4 linked regions of the Ovis aries genome follow. The protein of the gene in region 3 binds, or shares a complex with, the protein of the main gene of each other region. Links are inferred from orthologs where the notes say so. Each region holds a gene or a part of one and is shown on either strand. Other genes may lie near its edges. The genes, in order: PARD3, SNTG1, PTEN and MAST2.

Evidence for each region.
Region 1: the proteins of PTEN (region 3) and PARD3 are in contact, whole or in part, in an NMR structure (PDB 2K20), measured with the Rattus norvegicus proteins. The link is inferred for Ovis aries from reciprocal best matches to the Homo sapiens genes PTEN and PARD3. Residues at the interface, in NP_113794.1 of Rattus norvegicus: Asp393, Glu394, Asp395, Ser398, Gln399, Ile400, Thr401, Lys402, Val403; in NP_112514.1 of Rattus norvegicus: Ala599, Gly600, Leu601, Gly602, Val603, Ser604, Val605, Lys606, Gly607, Asn608, Arg609, Ser610, Lys611, His614, Lys622, Ile625, Met659, Leu662, Arg663, Met666.
Region 2: the proteins of PTEN (region 3) and SNTG1 are in contact, whole or in part, in a crystal structure (PDB 7PC7), measured with the Homo sapiens proteins. The link is inferred for Ovis aries from reciprocal best matches to the Homo sapiens genes PTEN and SNTG1. Residues at the interface, in NP_000305.3 of Homo sapiens: Asp395, Gln396, His397, Thr398, Gln399, Ile400, Thr401, Lys402, Val403; in NP_001274742.1 of Homo sapiens: Gly67, Phe68, Gly69, Leu70, Ser71, Ile72, Lys73, Gly74, Glu77, His78, Ser85, Lys86, Ile87, Ser88, His118, Val122, Leu125, Arg126.
Region 4: the proteins of PTEN (region 3) and MAST2 are in contact, whole or in part, in an NMR structure (PDB 2KYL), measured with the Homo sapiens proteins. The link is inferred for Ovis aries from reciprocal best matches to the Homo sapiens genes PTEN and MAST2. Residues at the interface, in NP_000305.3 of Homo sapiens: Pro391, Phe392, Asp393, Glu394, Asp395, Gln396, His397, Thr398, Gln399, Ile400, Thr401, Lys402, Val403; in NP_055927.2 of Homo sapiens: Lys1112, Lys1113, Tyr1114, Gly1115, Phe1116, Thr1117, Leu1118, Arg1119, Ala1120, Ile1121, Arg1122, Val1123, Tyr1124, Met1136, Trp1138, Glu1141, His1170, Val1174, Ile1177, Leu1178, Leu1191.

The regions. Positions count from the first base shown.
Region 1 is NC_056066.1:17,895,056-17,899,142, forward strand, and holds the start of PARD3 (partitioning defective 3 homolog), read left to right. Parts: upstream 1-1,279; 5' UTR 1,280-4,087. UniProt on the Homo sapiens protein: Adapter protein involved in asymmetrical cell division and cell polarization processes. Seems to play a central role in the formation of epithelial tight junctions. Targets the phosphatase PTEN to cell junctions.
Region 2 is NC_056062.1:33,673,498-33,677,060, forward strand, and holds part of SNTG1 (gamma-1-syntrophin), read left to right. Parts: intron 1-596; coding exon 597-749; intron 750-3,563. UniProt on the Homo sapiens protein: Adapter protein that binds to and probably organizes the subcellular localization of a variety of proteins. May link various receptors to the actin cytoskeleton and the dystrophin glycoprotein complex.
Region 3 is NC_056075.1:9,336,008-9,339,570, forward strand, and holds part of PTEN (phosphatidylinositol 3,4,5-trisphosphate 3-phosphatase and dual-specificity protein phosphatase PTEN), read left to right. Parts: intron 1-1,307; coding exon 1,308-1,493; 3' UTR 1,494-3,563. UniProt on the Homo sapiens protein: Dual-specificity protein phosphatase, dephosphorylating tyrosine-, serine- and threonine-phosphorylated proteins.
Region 4 is NC_056054.1:20,409,309-20,413,547, forward strand, and holds the start of MAST2 (microtubule-associated serine/threonine-protein kinase 2), read left to right. Parts: upstream 1-1,439; 5' UTR 1,440-1,764; coding exon 1,765-1,962; intron 1,963-4,239. UniProt on the Homo sapiens protein: Appears to link the dystrophin/utrophin network with microtubule filaments via the syntrophins. Phosphorylation of DMD or UTRN may modulate their affinities for associated proteins. Functions in a multi-protein complex in spermatid maturation.

The sequences.
Region 1 (4,087 bases), on a different chromosome or scaffold from region 3:
TTACTGAATCCACCTACTTGTTAGATCTCTCACATTCTTCTTCAGTTTTGTCCCGATGGTGAAAGCGTGGCTTCTCACAGCTCCAGGAGATGATGCTCCGGCAGCCTCTGTGGCTTGAGCAGTGGAACCTCAATGCCTTGCTGTCCTGTTGATCTTGTGGGGATTGAGTTCCCTGATCACTTGCTCATCCCTTGCGCACACTGGACACTCCCAGGGAGGTGGACCCCCCTCCCACCACCTCTCAGCCCCAATCCTGCCCTGCCTCATCCAACTTAGCATGCTCACCCTGTCTTTGGAGAAAAGGGGTCAGTTTTTTTGTGTCCTCCTGCTTGCCATCTTGCTAAACCCAGGTGCCAGTCAAACATCCCTGCAGCATTAGCCTCCATCACTTTCCTTCTTTTCATATGGTTTAATTTACACTGTATTCTTTCCACAGTTGTTTGACTGTTTTCAAAAACAGCATGGATAGAAAGAAACCTAATTTGAAGGTTAGAATTCTGTTATTTTTAGAATGCAGCCTCCTCAGCCCTGGAATTGATTTCATTTGGTTGTCACTGGTCTTTGTGGAGAGTGAACCTGGCTTAGGATTCACATGTAACCTAGTCAAGTTGCTTCAGTGTTGTATTACTTTGCATAAGCTTTGTCAAGGGGGCGTGAATATTTGCTGTAGATTCAGAGTTAATGCATCGCCCTTCTCAAGGTACTTCCATTGTCCTTCTGCTGTGATGGGGCTCAAAACTGCGTCAAGTGCCCTGAAATCAGTCTGAAAAGTTCTTAGTTCATAACATTGTGACTTCTCATTAAATGGCAGTGACAGTCCTTAAAGGCATATTATCTTATTTAAATTATGATGAGTTTTGCTTTCCTAAATCAGTGGGCGCAATTTTAGGACTCTAGTGGCATTTATATGTGTATATATAGGTATTATTTTAGGTGCGTTGAGAAGAATTCTTGACAAGGTACAAAATGGCATCAATTCCAAGGCACTTTTTTTTTTTTTTTCCCAAAAAGTAAGGGGAAAAAAAGAAAAGCGAGTGTCAGTAGTCTACACTTGATTTATATTTACTGTGGGAGCAATGGTTTCCCATATATCTTACACCATAAACTGAAATTTTGGTGCCAGTACCCTGGTGTGCGGTTCTATCCAGAATGGAGACAGGTTTTTGCAGGGATGTCATGTGACTGTGAGATGGGCCCCAGAGACGCTTTGTGTCAAAACAAATACTCACCTGGTCCAAATGGAGTTTGCCCCTTGTTTGTTGATTGGAGATTTTTAGTTAAGAATGGGCTCTGGTGTTCAGATGCTTGGATATGTTGATGTTATGCTGCTTCAGTCTCCTGTGTGCTGGTTCAGGCTCTGCTGTGATGTGAACAGAGCCCTGTCTTGGTGTTGGGAGGTGGTCAGAGGGCTGGGCTGGACACGCCTGAGGCCGCCAGTATGTGGGGCTGGTGACTGAAAGGTGGGGGTGCTTCTCTGGCTCACATAGCACATGTCAGACGGGTTTTCTGTTTTCCTTGTGGAGTTTTGTTGACCTGCTTTTCACTTTAGTCTGTTGATAAACAGGAAGTGCTGTTGCAGGGCTGAGAGGGGGTGTCTGAAGGACTTTTACTGTTAAGCCCATATAGGATTTCATTTTAAAAAGAGGAGAGGTGAGGGGTTGGAGAATGTAACCCAAGATAATCCCACAATCCTTAGTTTTGGGATTTTAACCAGTGTGATTTGCGGTCTTTCAAAATGCTTGTTGGATCTCGAACTGTGGGTCCACACCTGCAGCTTCTGTGGGTGGCAGCTTGCTTAAATAGTTGTTTAGAGCAAACACGAAGCTGGAGATGATGTTTGGGTTGGGGGCTTGAGTGTCCGTGATTCCCGCTCAGGTTTAGAGAGCCTCTTCTGCAGCCTGGCCCCCAGAGTTCCTGTGTGTGCGCCTCAGCTCTCCACATCCCGGTCCTGTGAAGAGAGGAGTCGGGTACAAGACAGGTGCTGAGGGGGTGTGTGTGTGTGCTGTCTGGGCTTTACTCCCCACTGTCCAAACATGCCATGTACATCTTGGCCTCCTCACCTTTGTCTGAAGACGTCCCCCACTTGAGGGGGCGTAATTCCTTTGTGAAGTGTTCTTTGTCTCTATTTGTTTTTGTAATTCCTGTACCACTTGATTGGCATTTAATTTTGATACCTAGGAATTGTTAGTGAACTTTCCACACACCTGTGGTTTCCCTCCCAAAGTTGATTTGAAGTCTTGGCGGGCACGGGCCTCCATAGACCTGGCTGGACCCCTTTATCCTAAAACACAAGCTCAACTTTGAGACTGAGTGTTAAGGTTTTCATTGGCTGGTGGCGTGTCACATGCCAGCCTGTCACCTGCAGCTGTTAAACTGGGTAATGAGAGCGCAGTGTTTTCAGTCATTAGGAGCCGCTGAGTGGATGTTCTTCCCTATCCTCGACTGTTCCTGCTGGCAGGAGTCTTTAGCTTGGATGGGCCTGTGGCCTTGCTCCCTGCTTCCTAATCTGGATGGTGCAGAGCGTGGTCCTGCTGCCATCAGGAGGCTCCCTGTGTTTGGAAAGGTGGATGGATTGACAGCTCAGAACTCTGCTACTGCCAAGACATGTGTCTGTAAACACGTGCTCAGCAGAGGATGGTGTAGGTAGGGGAGGTTAGGTAGTTTTAATTTTGTATGATGAGTTGCTTTCAAGATCAGATTATGGTGGTTGTGAAAATGCTTATCTTCCCTCCACTTTGAAAAGGAGAGCTATTTGGAGTGTGTTCAATTTTTGTGTCTGCTTGAGCAATGTGTGACCCTCAGTGACAACGTACCTCCTTCATTGCTACACACATGGCCTCGAGTGTCTGCAGGTGGGAAATGACTGCATCGTTGGGCCACTGAGTCCATGGGGTCTTTTTTTTCACTGCCTTCTCGTTGTTGCTCTTGGTAGACGGGCTACATGCCTGTGTCATTAAAGCTCTGCCTTTGTGCCCAGTCCACTGTATCTGTGCATCTTCAGTGCTTCACAAACCAGCCTTGCTTCTGTTTTGCTGTCTTCCCACCCTGCCTGATAAGTTTATAGTGACATGTCTTACTGTTGTTTGAGGTAGTCCATTTCATGCTTTAATTACTAGTTGTATAATTAGGTTTTGCCTGAGTTCCCAAACAGCTAATTTGTTTCTTTGCATCCATGCAGGATTTTTATCGGAGACTTTAGGTATGATGCAGAATATGTTGGGTCTGTGCCTGCTATATTTCCTGTTTTAGTGCTTCGATTGCACAGCTTAGCATTTTGTTTTGTTTCTTTGGGAACACTGTGCACTATATTTTCTTAGAAGTAGTACATTGAAGGCACAGTTAACTAAATTTCAAATGCCTCATAACGGAAAACTTTACAAGGACAGCAAACTAACTGTGTATCTAAGGGATTAGGAAACGATATGGCGTTAACCTCTATAATCTGCTCACATATTTCATAAGGTATCTTGAAGCCCTTTCTTTCAAATTCCCCCATTTCAAATCAATTTGAAATTGACCAGATAAAGCCAGATAAGTTTGTGAGTCACACTAGGGATTTTCAAGGAAAAATTTTAAGTGCGAACACACTTGGAAACCTATGAGTTAGCAAAGGAATACAAATTGACCTTTGGTATTGGGTCACCAGTAACACCGATGAGTTTTAGGGTGTGGGGCTGTGTTTAAGTGACTTGGGGCTAGGGACCATTTGCTGCTGTAACCCTGTGTCTGTTCAGTGCCTGCCATCGAGTAGATGCTCCTTGAGTGTGTGAATCAGGTCCTGAGGCTTGATTAGGGTGATACTGTAAACATGCACATCTTCCAGACACTGTTGTGAGTGCCGTGGAGAGACAGGGCAGGAGACAAAATGAGACTGGAGGCTGCTGCTGTGCAGGGTAGATGTTAGCAGGCACTGACATTTGGGTGAGCTTTCCCCGGGGTTTCCAGGAGGGGCCCAGCGAGCTATAGCAAGTCCGAGTGACAAGGAGACCCCGTGCATTCACTGGCCCGGGTCTCGGTGTTCGTGGTGACTGTGTGCTTTGTCTGTCTGTCGCTCTCTTCTCTGCTGAAAATCATCCTAAAAGCTGAT
Region 2 (3,563 bases), on a different chromosome or scaffold from region 3:
AATTGCCATGTCAAAGTCCTTTTGACTTAATGAATTACAGTTATGTAAGTAAGGGCAGCAAGTAAGGGAAATGTGTAGCTTTTAAAAAGCAGTAAAATTTCTGAAACATGTTAGACTCAGTTTTTTCATGTCTCAGCTAATAGAATATTCCCATGATAGTTTAAGGATTATAGAAATCAACTCAGTAAAAGATACCATGCTTATAATCGCCTTAAAACTTATAAATTACATTAATAAGTATTGCTTAATCTCATCATCTTCACAGCTCTGGAAGGAAAAAGGAGCATTGTGTGTTATCCACCTGTCCAGTGAGAAATGGAATCTCATGCAGTCAATGCTTTGATAACTACTCTTGCTAGGAAGAGTTGAAGCCAGAAATTCTTCAGTGTCAGTTCAGAAAGGAAATGTGTCAGTTATGGACTTTGAGGACTGGAAATTGTCCTCTGTGACCATTGTAATGAAGAATTAGTGATTTCAGAGGGTAGAATCCTTGTTACTACAGCGTCTCCACCACACAGTGGTCAACACTGACCCAGGGGTGACTGGGTCAGTAGCTCAAGTATGTGCCAGTCTGCATAACTCCAAGTTTCCATCAGGACAGTGACCTGCTGGACCGGCGGAGACACTGCTTCACTGTGCAGTCCGAGTCTGGGGAGGACCTGTACTTCTCAGTGGAGCTCGACTCTGACCTTGCCCAGTGGGAACGAGCCTTCCAAACAGCAACCTTCCTGGAGGTGGAGCGGATACAGGTGAGGGTCTGTGAAAGCAGAGGACCTGTGATCCCCAGGATGCATGACCCCTCCCTAGAGTTCTGATATAAATTCAAGTGAACATGAAAATCCAGTTCTGTGAGGCTCAAATGTTCAGTCATTGGCCATTGTTTAAATGAGGTGCAACACAACTCTGAAAGCATTTTAATTTTTCTATAATTTGATCTTTCTAGCCTATTTCCTACCACCCATCAAAAACACCTTTCTAAATTTAATTAGAATCTTGCTGTTGTTGTTCAGTCAGTGAGTTGTGTCCGACTCTTTGCAACCCCATGGACTGCAGCACTCCAGGCTTCCCTGTCCATCACCATCTCCTAGAGCTTGCTCAAACTCACGTCACTGAGTTGGTGATGCCATCCGTCCATCTCATCCTCTGTCATCCCCTTCTCCTCCTGCCTGCAATCTTTCCCAGCATCAGGATCTTTTCTAATGAGTTGGCTCTTCACATTAGGTGCCCAAAGTATTGGAGCTTCAGGTTCAGCGTCAGTCCTTCCAGTGAACGCTCAGGACTGATCTCCTTTAGGATAGACTGGATCTCCTTGCAGTCCAAGGGACTCTGAAGCATCTTCTCCAACACCTCAGTTTAAAAGCATCAATTCTTTGGCACTCAGCCTTCTTTATGGCCAAACTCTGACATCCATACATGACATCTAAAACAGAAATGTTCTTACTTTAATTAATTGTTTACAAAAGCCATTTCCTGGTCTCCAATCACAACCACTTAATTTCCAGCCAGAATGATTTTATTCACTCACAAGTCTCTTTCTTGCTGGAAAGCCTTGTATTCATCACTACCCTCCAAAACCACACAGATGAATTTGAAGTCTTCTCAGAGGTCACACCAGGGAGGACGATTTTCCTGACTCCCAGTCTGCCCTGCCATGTGCCCACCACTGTTCCTCCTCATCGGTCCTATTCAAGCTTGCCCCCAACCACCTCCAGAATGCAGTATCTCTTTTGTCTTTTTCCGTAGGTCTGTCCACACTCTGCATGAGTTGGAGTGATCTGTATTTGTTTTTCTCACACTGAGTTGTAGGTTTCTGGGAGTATTTTATTTCTCTACTGACTGAAGTCAGTGCATTTTGTACTCACAAGTAATCAGCAGGTGTTTACTAAACTTTATTTCTTATATGTGAAATGTCTGATGGCAACAACACATCATTATTATCTGGATAGTTGCCTGTAACAATGGACCTGGATGCATACTTTTCCAATTACATTGAACTGATTTGTGACATGTATTAATTTTTTTCTGACTACAAATTTTTATATTCAATCCATCAAGTCACAACAATGTGACATGACAATCAGGGGAAGAGACAAGGAGAAGACTCATTTATCATTTTTTCATTGCTCAATTAACATTTTCTAATATTTTGCTGATATGCATGTATCTAAAAATGTTAAAGTAACTAAGACATGTTGTTTCAATAATCTACTTGGATAGAACCTCAATTTAGTAAATAGATTTTTCATATCAAAAGTGGAAAGATGAGAAATATCTTAAATATTATTTTATTAATATTGTAAGTGTCAACCCCTAAGACTATTTTAAAGCATTTTATGAAGCTGTATAGGAGTTGACTTTTTTTAACTTATTTTGATAGTTTTAGGTTTTCCTTATTATCATTTCGCTGGAATATTACACTTCACTTGGAAACAAATACACAGCAATTTCTACTTGCTGGTTTCAATTTAAGATTTTCAAGTCTCTAATGTTTAGAAATGAGATAGAGATAAAATTGTGTTGTTTCATTCTATTTTACTTTTTTTAAACTTGGACCTCATATTCTATAAGCTGACGTCCTGAGCAATGCATTTTTTTGACTGGCACCTTACATATTCACAATAGGAATTTAAGATGCATATATAAGTGAAAGTAAAATAGTTAATGTCTTTTTAGCTTTTTGTTGTTTTGCGCATTTTATAACTTCCCCTTGTGTGCTCCACCAGAAATAACCAATGACTGGTCACTGTGCATCTGTTATTTTCAAAATTCAAGCATGTAAAAATATGTACATGAAGAAGTTTATGTGTTTTACTCTTATTTCCTAGTATTTCCACTTCAACTAAAGTTGATAATTAAATGAAATAAAGAGGAGACACGTCTCATTGTGAAACAGGTGTTTCGTTGTTGTTCAGTCGCTCAGTCGTGTCTGATCCTTTGTGATCCCACGGACTGCAGCACACCAGACTACCCTGGCCTTCACGTCTCCTGGAGCTTATTCAAACTCATGTCCAGTGAGTTGATGAATTACTAAGAATTAATAAATTATGTTTATTTTGAAATCAGTTTTCATTAAGAAGACTGCATTTTAACACTTTCTACCTTCTAATCTATTCCTTTATCTATTTAAATATTTTCTGATCACTAATGTACTTAGTATTCATGCAAATATCTATATATTTATTTAATAGATAATTAACTGTTGGAGATATTTCTAAACATCCTAATTGTCATTTAAATTAGCATCTTAAAATTTAACCATACTTCCCAGGGTGACAGAAGAAAATGTAATGAACATCAAAAATTAACATTTTATATTAATCAAAATATGACAATTTATATGAATTACAACTTACATTTCCCTAGTATTCAAAGTACCACAATTAAGCCTAGTTAATTTACTGTTATTTTTAGTTTTTATTTGTACAGTTTTTGAAACATTTCCCCAGAGTAAGTGAATAAAATGGTAAGGCATGGATAATTATTGTTTACTTTACACTAATTCAATCTAAAATAATACAGCCTTTTTAAAATAAGGCTTTCAGTGAAGTGTATAACATTCAAAA
Region 3 (3,563 bases):
AAAGAGGGGCTACCTGTTTCAAGTGAAAATGGAGCTAATAAGTACCTTTAGATCTTATAATTAAAGTGTTTTGAAGTGTCTTTTAGAATTTGTAAGTTTGTTTACTTTCTTTTCTCTGTGAACATTTTCCTCAGTTACTAGCTTTTAACGTGTGACTTCCTCTAATTTTATTTTTTTGTTTTAATGTTACAAGAGGTTTTATATTTATTATTACAAATAAAAGCTATTGCAGTTATCAGCAAACACATATAATATCATATAATGGTAAGTGCTTTGGAAAAATAAAGCAGAGATAGGAGAGAGAGTGGCCTTGGTGTATTTTTTAGTGGGATGGTTAGAGAAGGCCTCTCCAAGAAGTTGACTTTAATTAGAGGCCTAAGTGAAATGAGGGAGCTATAAAATACCTGGGAAAAGAGGAAAGAGCAGGTGTAGGAACCCTGGGACAAGAGTGAGCTTAGTGTATTTGAAGAGCAATAGATAAGAAATCATTTTGACTAACACACATCAGTCCAAGTGTGAATACATTGAGTGTGTTCTCCACAGGAGAGAGGTAATCTGATTTTTGTCTTTAAAAGTTTACTCTGTCCTCTCCTTTAAAATAAAGGCAAGAGGAGGGCAAGAATGAAAGCTAGGACACTATAATAGCCTGATCAAAGAATTGGATGTCAGATCTAATTTAAATCCCATGTCCACTGCCTACTAGATATGTGGCCTTTAGCAAGTGTCCTAGCCTTGCTGAACTATAGCTTTCTCTCTTTTAAAACAGAAAGACCTATCCTGTAGAGTTGTTTTGACAGTTATTTCACCTCTGCTTATAAAGGTTGTTGGTTCACTATTTAGAGCACTGTATGATATTAACTTTTTTATTACTCCCTTTCAGTGAAGTTTTTAGGGTGAATGGAATCCTAAACATCATTGTTAATATTATCTGTATTAGAAAATACATTGAATTTCAGACAGGCTGTAAGTGAAATATTCTTTTGAAACTCAACTCTATGTGAGTTGAATTTTGTGATCGAAAAAATATTATGTGGACTATTGAAATCAGTACCTTTCTTTTGTAGAATTATTTCATTAATGCCTGTAGTTTATGCTTATTTAAAAAAACACATAGTATATTAACATCCCAGTTTCTTTTCAGTGTATGCCAAGAAAGAAAATGTAGGAAATCTTGAGAAGGTCATTGAAAAGGCTCTTTAAGGGTTATGTATGTCATAGTACTTAAAAATGAATCCGATAAAGATATGTATCTTTGAGAGTGGTCAGATTTATGGATTTTCCATTTACACTTTCTCTTCTTTCTCTAGGTGAAGCTGTACTTCACAAAAACAGTAGAGGAGTCATCAAATCCAGAGGCTAGCAGTTCAACGTCTGTAACACCAGATGTCAGTGACAATGAACCTGATCATTACAGATATTCTGACACCACTGACTCTGACCCAGAGAATGAACCTTTTGATGAAGATCAGCATACACAAATTACAAAAGTCTGATTTTTTTTTTTTATCAAGAGGGATAAAACACCATGAAAACAAACTTGAATAAACTGAAAATGGACCTTTTTTTTTTTTTTTTTAAATGGCAATAGGACATTGTGTCAGATTACCAGTTATAGGAACAATTCTCTTTTCCTGACCAATCTTGTTTTACCCTATACATCCACAGGGTTTTGACACTTGTTGTCCAGTTGAAAAAAGATTGTGTAGTGTCATGTATATACCTTTTTGTGTCAAAAGGACATTTAAAATTCAATTAGGATGAATAAAGATGGCACTTTCCCATTTTATTCCAGTTTTATAAAAAGTGGAGACAGACTGATGTGTATACGTAGGAATTTCTCATTTTGTGTTCTGTCACCAACTGAAGTGGCTAAAGAGCTTTGTGATACACAGGTTCACATCCTACCCCTTTGCACTTGTGGCAACAGATAAGTTTGCAGTTGGCTAAGAGGAGTTTCTAAAAGGTTTTGCTACATTCTAATGCATGTATTCGGGTTAGGGGAACGGAGGGAATGCTCAGAAAGGCATTTGTTGTGTGCTGGATTCTGGACCATATACCATCTCCAGCTATTTACACGCACCTTTCTTTAGCATGCTACAGTTATTAATCTGGACGTTTGAAGAATTGGCCGCTGTCACTGCTTGTTATTTGTGCATTTTATTTTTTTTAAGCATATTGGTGCTAGAAAAGGCAGCTAGAGGGAGTGAATCTGTATTGGGGTACAGGAATGAACCTTCCACAACATCTTAAGAATCCACAAATGAAGGGATATAAAAGTAATGTGGTCATAGATAAGAAACACAGCAACAATGACTTAACCATACAAATGTGGAGGCTATCAACAAAGAATGGGCTTGAAACATTATAAAAATCGACAATGATTTATTAAATATGTTTTCTCAGTTGTAATGACTGCTCCATCTCCTGTGTAATCAAGGCCAGTGCTAAAAGTCAGATGCTATTAGTACCTACATCAGTCAACAACTTACACTTATGTTATTAGTTTTCAATCATGTACCTGCTGTGGATGCTTCATGTGCTGCCTACAAGCTTCTTTTTTCTCATTAAATATACAATATTTTGTAATGCTGCACAGGAAATTTCAATTTGAGATTCTACAGTAAGCGGTTTTTTTTTTTCTTTAAAAATTTATGATGCACTTATTCAATCCAATAGATGTCAGCCGTTCCACCCTTTTGACCTTACACATTCTATTACAATGAGTTTTGCAGTTTTGCACATTTTTTAAATGTCATTAACTGTTAGGGAATTTTACTTGAATATTGAATACATATAATGTTTATATTTAAAAGGACGTTATTTGTGTTAAAAAGGAAATTAGAGTTGCAGTAAATTTTCAACACTGCACAAATAATAAGTCATTTACTTTTTCAGTAGAAATTGTCCCACATAATGCTTTTATCAATTTGCTATTGAAAGAATAGATTTTTTTAAATGTGCAGTGTTGAATCATTTCTTCATAGTGCTAGAGTTAGGATTAGGGCTTCAATTTCACTTCTTAAATATCATATATTTGATATGCCCAGACTGCATATGATTTTAAGCAGAGTACAACTACTATTGTAAAGTTAATGTGAAGATATGATTAAAAATAATTTTTTTCCCAGAAATTTGATATCTTTCAAATTACACCTTGACCTTGAAATGTTTGACTATCCAGCCAATTTATTTCTTAATGGTGTAAAATCTCATTTTCAATAACTTATTGGTGCTGAAATTGTTCACTAGCTGTGGTCTGACCTAGTTAATTTACAAATACAGATTGCGTAGGACCTACTAGAGCAGCATTTATAGAGTTTGATGGTAAATAGATTAGGCAGAGCTTCATCTAAAATATTCTTTGGAAAATGATCTTGACATGTTTTCCATACCTTGTCAGTTTCATTCAAAAAATAAGGTTTTAAAGTTTTTTAACAAAGCGGTTAGTATTTACACATTGATATTTAAACATTGATATGTAGAGAATTGATTGACTGCTCATAAGTTAAATTGGTAAAGTTAGAGACACCTATTCCTCAGCTCTCATCATTGAAATTTATCTC
Region 4 (4,239 bases), on a different chromosome or scaffold from region 3:
TTGAGGCAACGAGAGGTGGATTGTGGTGAGAAACGGAAATAGGGAATACAAAGAGCAGATTGTCGATTGGCTGTAGAAACATCGGTTGTGTGTATAGGCTCTGATATCTGATAGACCTTGGTCTGAGTCCTCGCTCTGCACTTATTAGCTGTGTCATATTGAGCATTTCATGTAACTTGAACCTCAGTTTCCTCAACTGTAAACTGGAAATTATACAACTTACCTCTTGTTCACATATGTGTGAATTGAATGCACACTGACTGGTATCCAGTGAAAGTGAAGTCACTCAGTCGTGACCGACTCTTTGCGACCCCACGGACTGTAGCCTACCAGGCTCCTCTGTCCATGGGATTTTCCAGGTAAGAGTACTGGAGTGGATTGCCATTTCCTTCTGCAGGGGATCTTCCCGACCCAGGGGTTGAACCCGGGTCTCCCTCATTGTAGACAGACGCTTTACCATCTGAGCCACCAGGGAAGTCGTTTTGCTATAATGTTAGTTATTACTGTCTTTCAAAAAAGGTTCAGGGAGGAGGCTTAGGAAAAAAAGGGTGACCCCTTAAGGAAATGCTTCTGTGAAAGCATTCCTGTCAAGTCAAAAGAGGAAAAATATGGTGCTGTGGCAGACCAGAAGCCAGAAGGAGGAGGCCAGACAGGGCTGAGCTACAGCCACATTGCTGAGCAGATGAGTCACTGAAAGTGGCAGGCTGAGCTGCCCAAGCCACAGCTGGACTTGCGGTGGCCAGGCTGGACTGGGCGATAATGTAACTACTTCGTTGTCAGTGGGGAATCATGGCGATGTTCTGGAAGCTTGTCTTCCCTTTCCCCTTGAAGGAATCTATTGCTTCTTCCCCTTTTATAGGACTTTCCACATCCTGTCTTACTTTTTGGAAGCAGCAGGAAACCGTGGAAAGAGTCAGAAAAGCCAGAATTTGAGTTCTGTCCAGCTTACTCAGTGACCTGGTGCATGTCACTTCTCGTCGGTCTTCTTATCTGTAACAGGAGAATGAACAGACCTGCCTTCAAAGTGTGATGTGACGATCAGATGACAGTTGGTTCGCAGATGCTGAACAAAAAGGCATGCATCCGTGTTCTGTTCACTAGTTGTCTCCTTTATCTTCTTGCTGCTCCTGGTCCTTCTCCACCTACTTCCCTGAGGACGTTGATCCGTTCTAATTCATTTTAGATTCGCACCACTTGGCTTGGCCTGGCACACAATTTCATGAATGGACGAAAGAAAGAATCAATGAACCGTCCGCGGCTACCACAGGCGCTTCGGGGCCCCGCCCCCTTCCGCTCTCCGCCCTCTCCCTCCCACACCACGCGGTGGGGCCAAGGGCGGGTCTCTCGCGACCGTTCGCTGGCGCGTGCGCGGGAGACGGCGCGCGGCCGGAGGTGGCGGGCGGGCTCCCGGTGCGCGCGCGCGAGGGGAAGGGAGGGGCGGGGCCCGGCCAGAGGCAGGCGGGCGGGCGGCTGGCTGTGGAGCCGGCGGCGGCGGCGGCGGCGGCGGGTGACCAGCCGAGCGTGTGCCGGCTGGGACAGGACGAGGCTGCGGCGATGCTGCCTCCTGCGTAAGGAGCGCCGAGGAGGCCGCGGCCCTTGAGGCCCCAGAAAGCGCGGAGGAGCTGCGGGCTGGGATCGGTGGCTTCGGGTGCCCGCCGGGCCATGGTGGCCGCGGGAGGTGGTTGGCGCGGTAGCGCTGCGGCCCGGGGAGGTGCGGGGCCGGGACAGTCGCGGCGCTGACGCCCGCAGGGCCCAGCCGCAGATATGAAGCGGAGCCGCTGCCGCGATCGACCGCAGCCGCCGCCGCCGCCGCCGCCGCCGGCAGCCGGCCGGGAGGATGGGGCTCAGCGGGCGGCGGAGCTGCCCCAGCCCCAGCCCCTGCCCCCGCGCCGGCGAGCGCCGCCCGGGAGGCAGCGACTGGAGGAGCGGACCGGGCCCGCAGGGCCCGAAGTCAGGGAGCAGGTAGGGCTGGCCGGGGTCTCGCAGGGAAAGGATGGGGAGGGGGAGCCTGAATGGGACTGATGGGGGAGGGCTGTCTCGGGCGGGAAGATTTGGGCTGGGGGAGTTGAAGGGGTGGGGATTGAATTGAAGTTGGGCAGGAGGAATGGGAGGTCTAGAGAGGCAGAAAAATGCGGAGTGGAGAAATGGAAGTATTAGTCTGGGGTTGAATGGGAAATGAGAGCGTAGGGATGAAAAATGGTCCTATGGGAGTTTGAGGTAAAGGGTTCTGGAGGAGAAGAAGAGACGCCGGAATGTGGGCTGGGAGTGAATGAAGTGCAAAGAATAGGTTTACTAAAGGGGTATGGAGGAATTATCCAGAGGGGCAAAAAATGTAAGGTAGGGACAGTCAGTGTGATATAGTAAATGTTATCTTATTTTCTCGAGGTTGCCTTGACAGTTGTGAAAAAGATGTCATTCCTAAGCATTCTCTGGTTTGGCCATCGTTATAGTCTTGTTGGAATATGTTCCTAGCCATTGTTAAAGTTCTCTCCAGTAATGATTCATTTCACGAGAAAGCACTTTTTAAAACATGTGCTTTGGGGATGCATGTATGCAATCCAAAGGAAGTACTGTGAGCAGAGAATTCATAGATTTAGTCTCTGCCTTATAGGAGTTTACCACTGAAAATATCTTAGTGGAAAAACATAGAAAGAAATGCAAAAAGTTCGTGGAGTTTCTGAATGGACAGGATGTGTTTATATATTAATTTTTTAATCAAGTGTGGGTTATTTAGAAGTAGGGGATAAAGGTCAGTTTTATGAGGGAGAAGTTGTCATTAGTAGCTGTAGGAAGTTCAGTGAGTACCTGCATGGTCCTTGATCTTGTGGGATTTACAGAAAAATGTATTGTAGTAATGGACTCCAGTGACAGCTTCCCTTTTGCACATACTATTCAAGACCCTACTGACTTCATCTTCGGAGATCTGAAGGGTCCTGGGTCCTGTTAGGTCTCCTGCCTAACAGGAGACCTTTCCTGTATGTTAAATAAGTATTTTCCATAGACATCATTATTATATAGTTTCAGTGATGCACATGTTAGCACTTGGACTTTCCCCCACTGTTGGTTTTTTATCTTGTATTCTCCACCCAGTGCTGAGTAGACTGTGCTATTGCTATCTTTGCCCTTACTTTGAGGCCGCTGAGCATTGTCCTCTTACTGTAATTTTCTCTCTCAACCTTGTCTTTTATATTCTCTGCAGTTCCTATTCAAAACATTTTAAAATGTACTTAAAACCCAGATCCTTTCCTGACTCAAGTTTACCTGGTCCAATTTACCTTATCCAGTGCTTCACTGAAGAGTTCAAGGTTACTTGATTTCTTCCCCTTTATCTCAGGATTTCTGTGTTCACTCATCCTTTTAAATCTCAAAGAAGGAAGTACTTATCCTCTTCCAGGCTAATTTCTCTATGTTTTTGATTTCATTCCCTCTTATCTTCTGTAGGCCCTTGTTGTCTTATACCTCAAATAAAAACAAAACAACAAGATTTCCATGAGTTTTGTAACCTACTTAAGCTACTTTGTAATCTCATTTTTGCTAACCAGCAACCTTCTTGAAAAATGAGTTTTTATATTCAGGAGTCTGAGAAAGCTCCAGGAGATGGTGAAGGACACAGAAGCCTGGCATGCTGCAGTCCATGGGGTTGCAGAATTGGACACAACTGAGTGACTGAACAACAGTTCACTGTCTCAGCTTCTTCACCTTATATACATTCCTCATATATTTGGCTTTTACACATAAACTCTCCCCAAACTGATGTCTTCAAGGTCATCAGTAACTTGTATGTTTGTTTATTTACTTTTTAATTGTGATGTGACTACAGAGTGCAAATCAAAGGTTCATTCAGCCCATGAATTTTTATAGAATGAATACACCTATGTCAGATAAGGATGTAGAACATTTCCAGTACCCTAGAATGTGCCTTTGTGTTTTCTCCCAGGTATTACTCATCTCTAGAGGTAACCACTCACCAGCCTCTATCAGCATGGATTAGTGTTGCCTCTTCTGAACTTCATATAAATTAAATCATTCAGCTTAACTCTTTTATGACTGTACTCTTTCATTCAGCTATGTCTGTAAGATTCATCTATGTTGTTTCTTTTAGAAAAAGCTTGTCCTTCTTCACTGCTGTATAGTTTTCCATTGTGTAAATGTACCATGATAGATGCTAAAACTTCCTTTTTTTAAGTTGAAAAATAATGTGTGGCTATTTGTTAAAAGTTTTCATTGTGAAAGAATTAC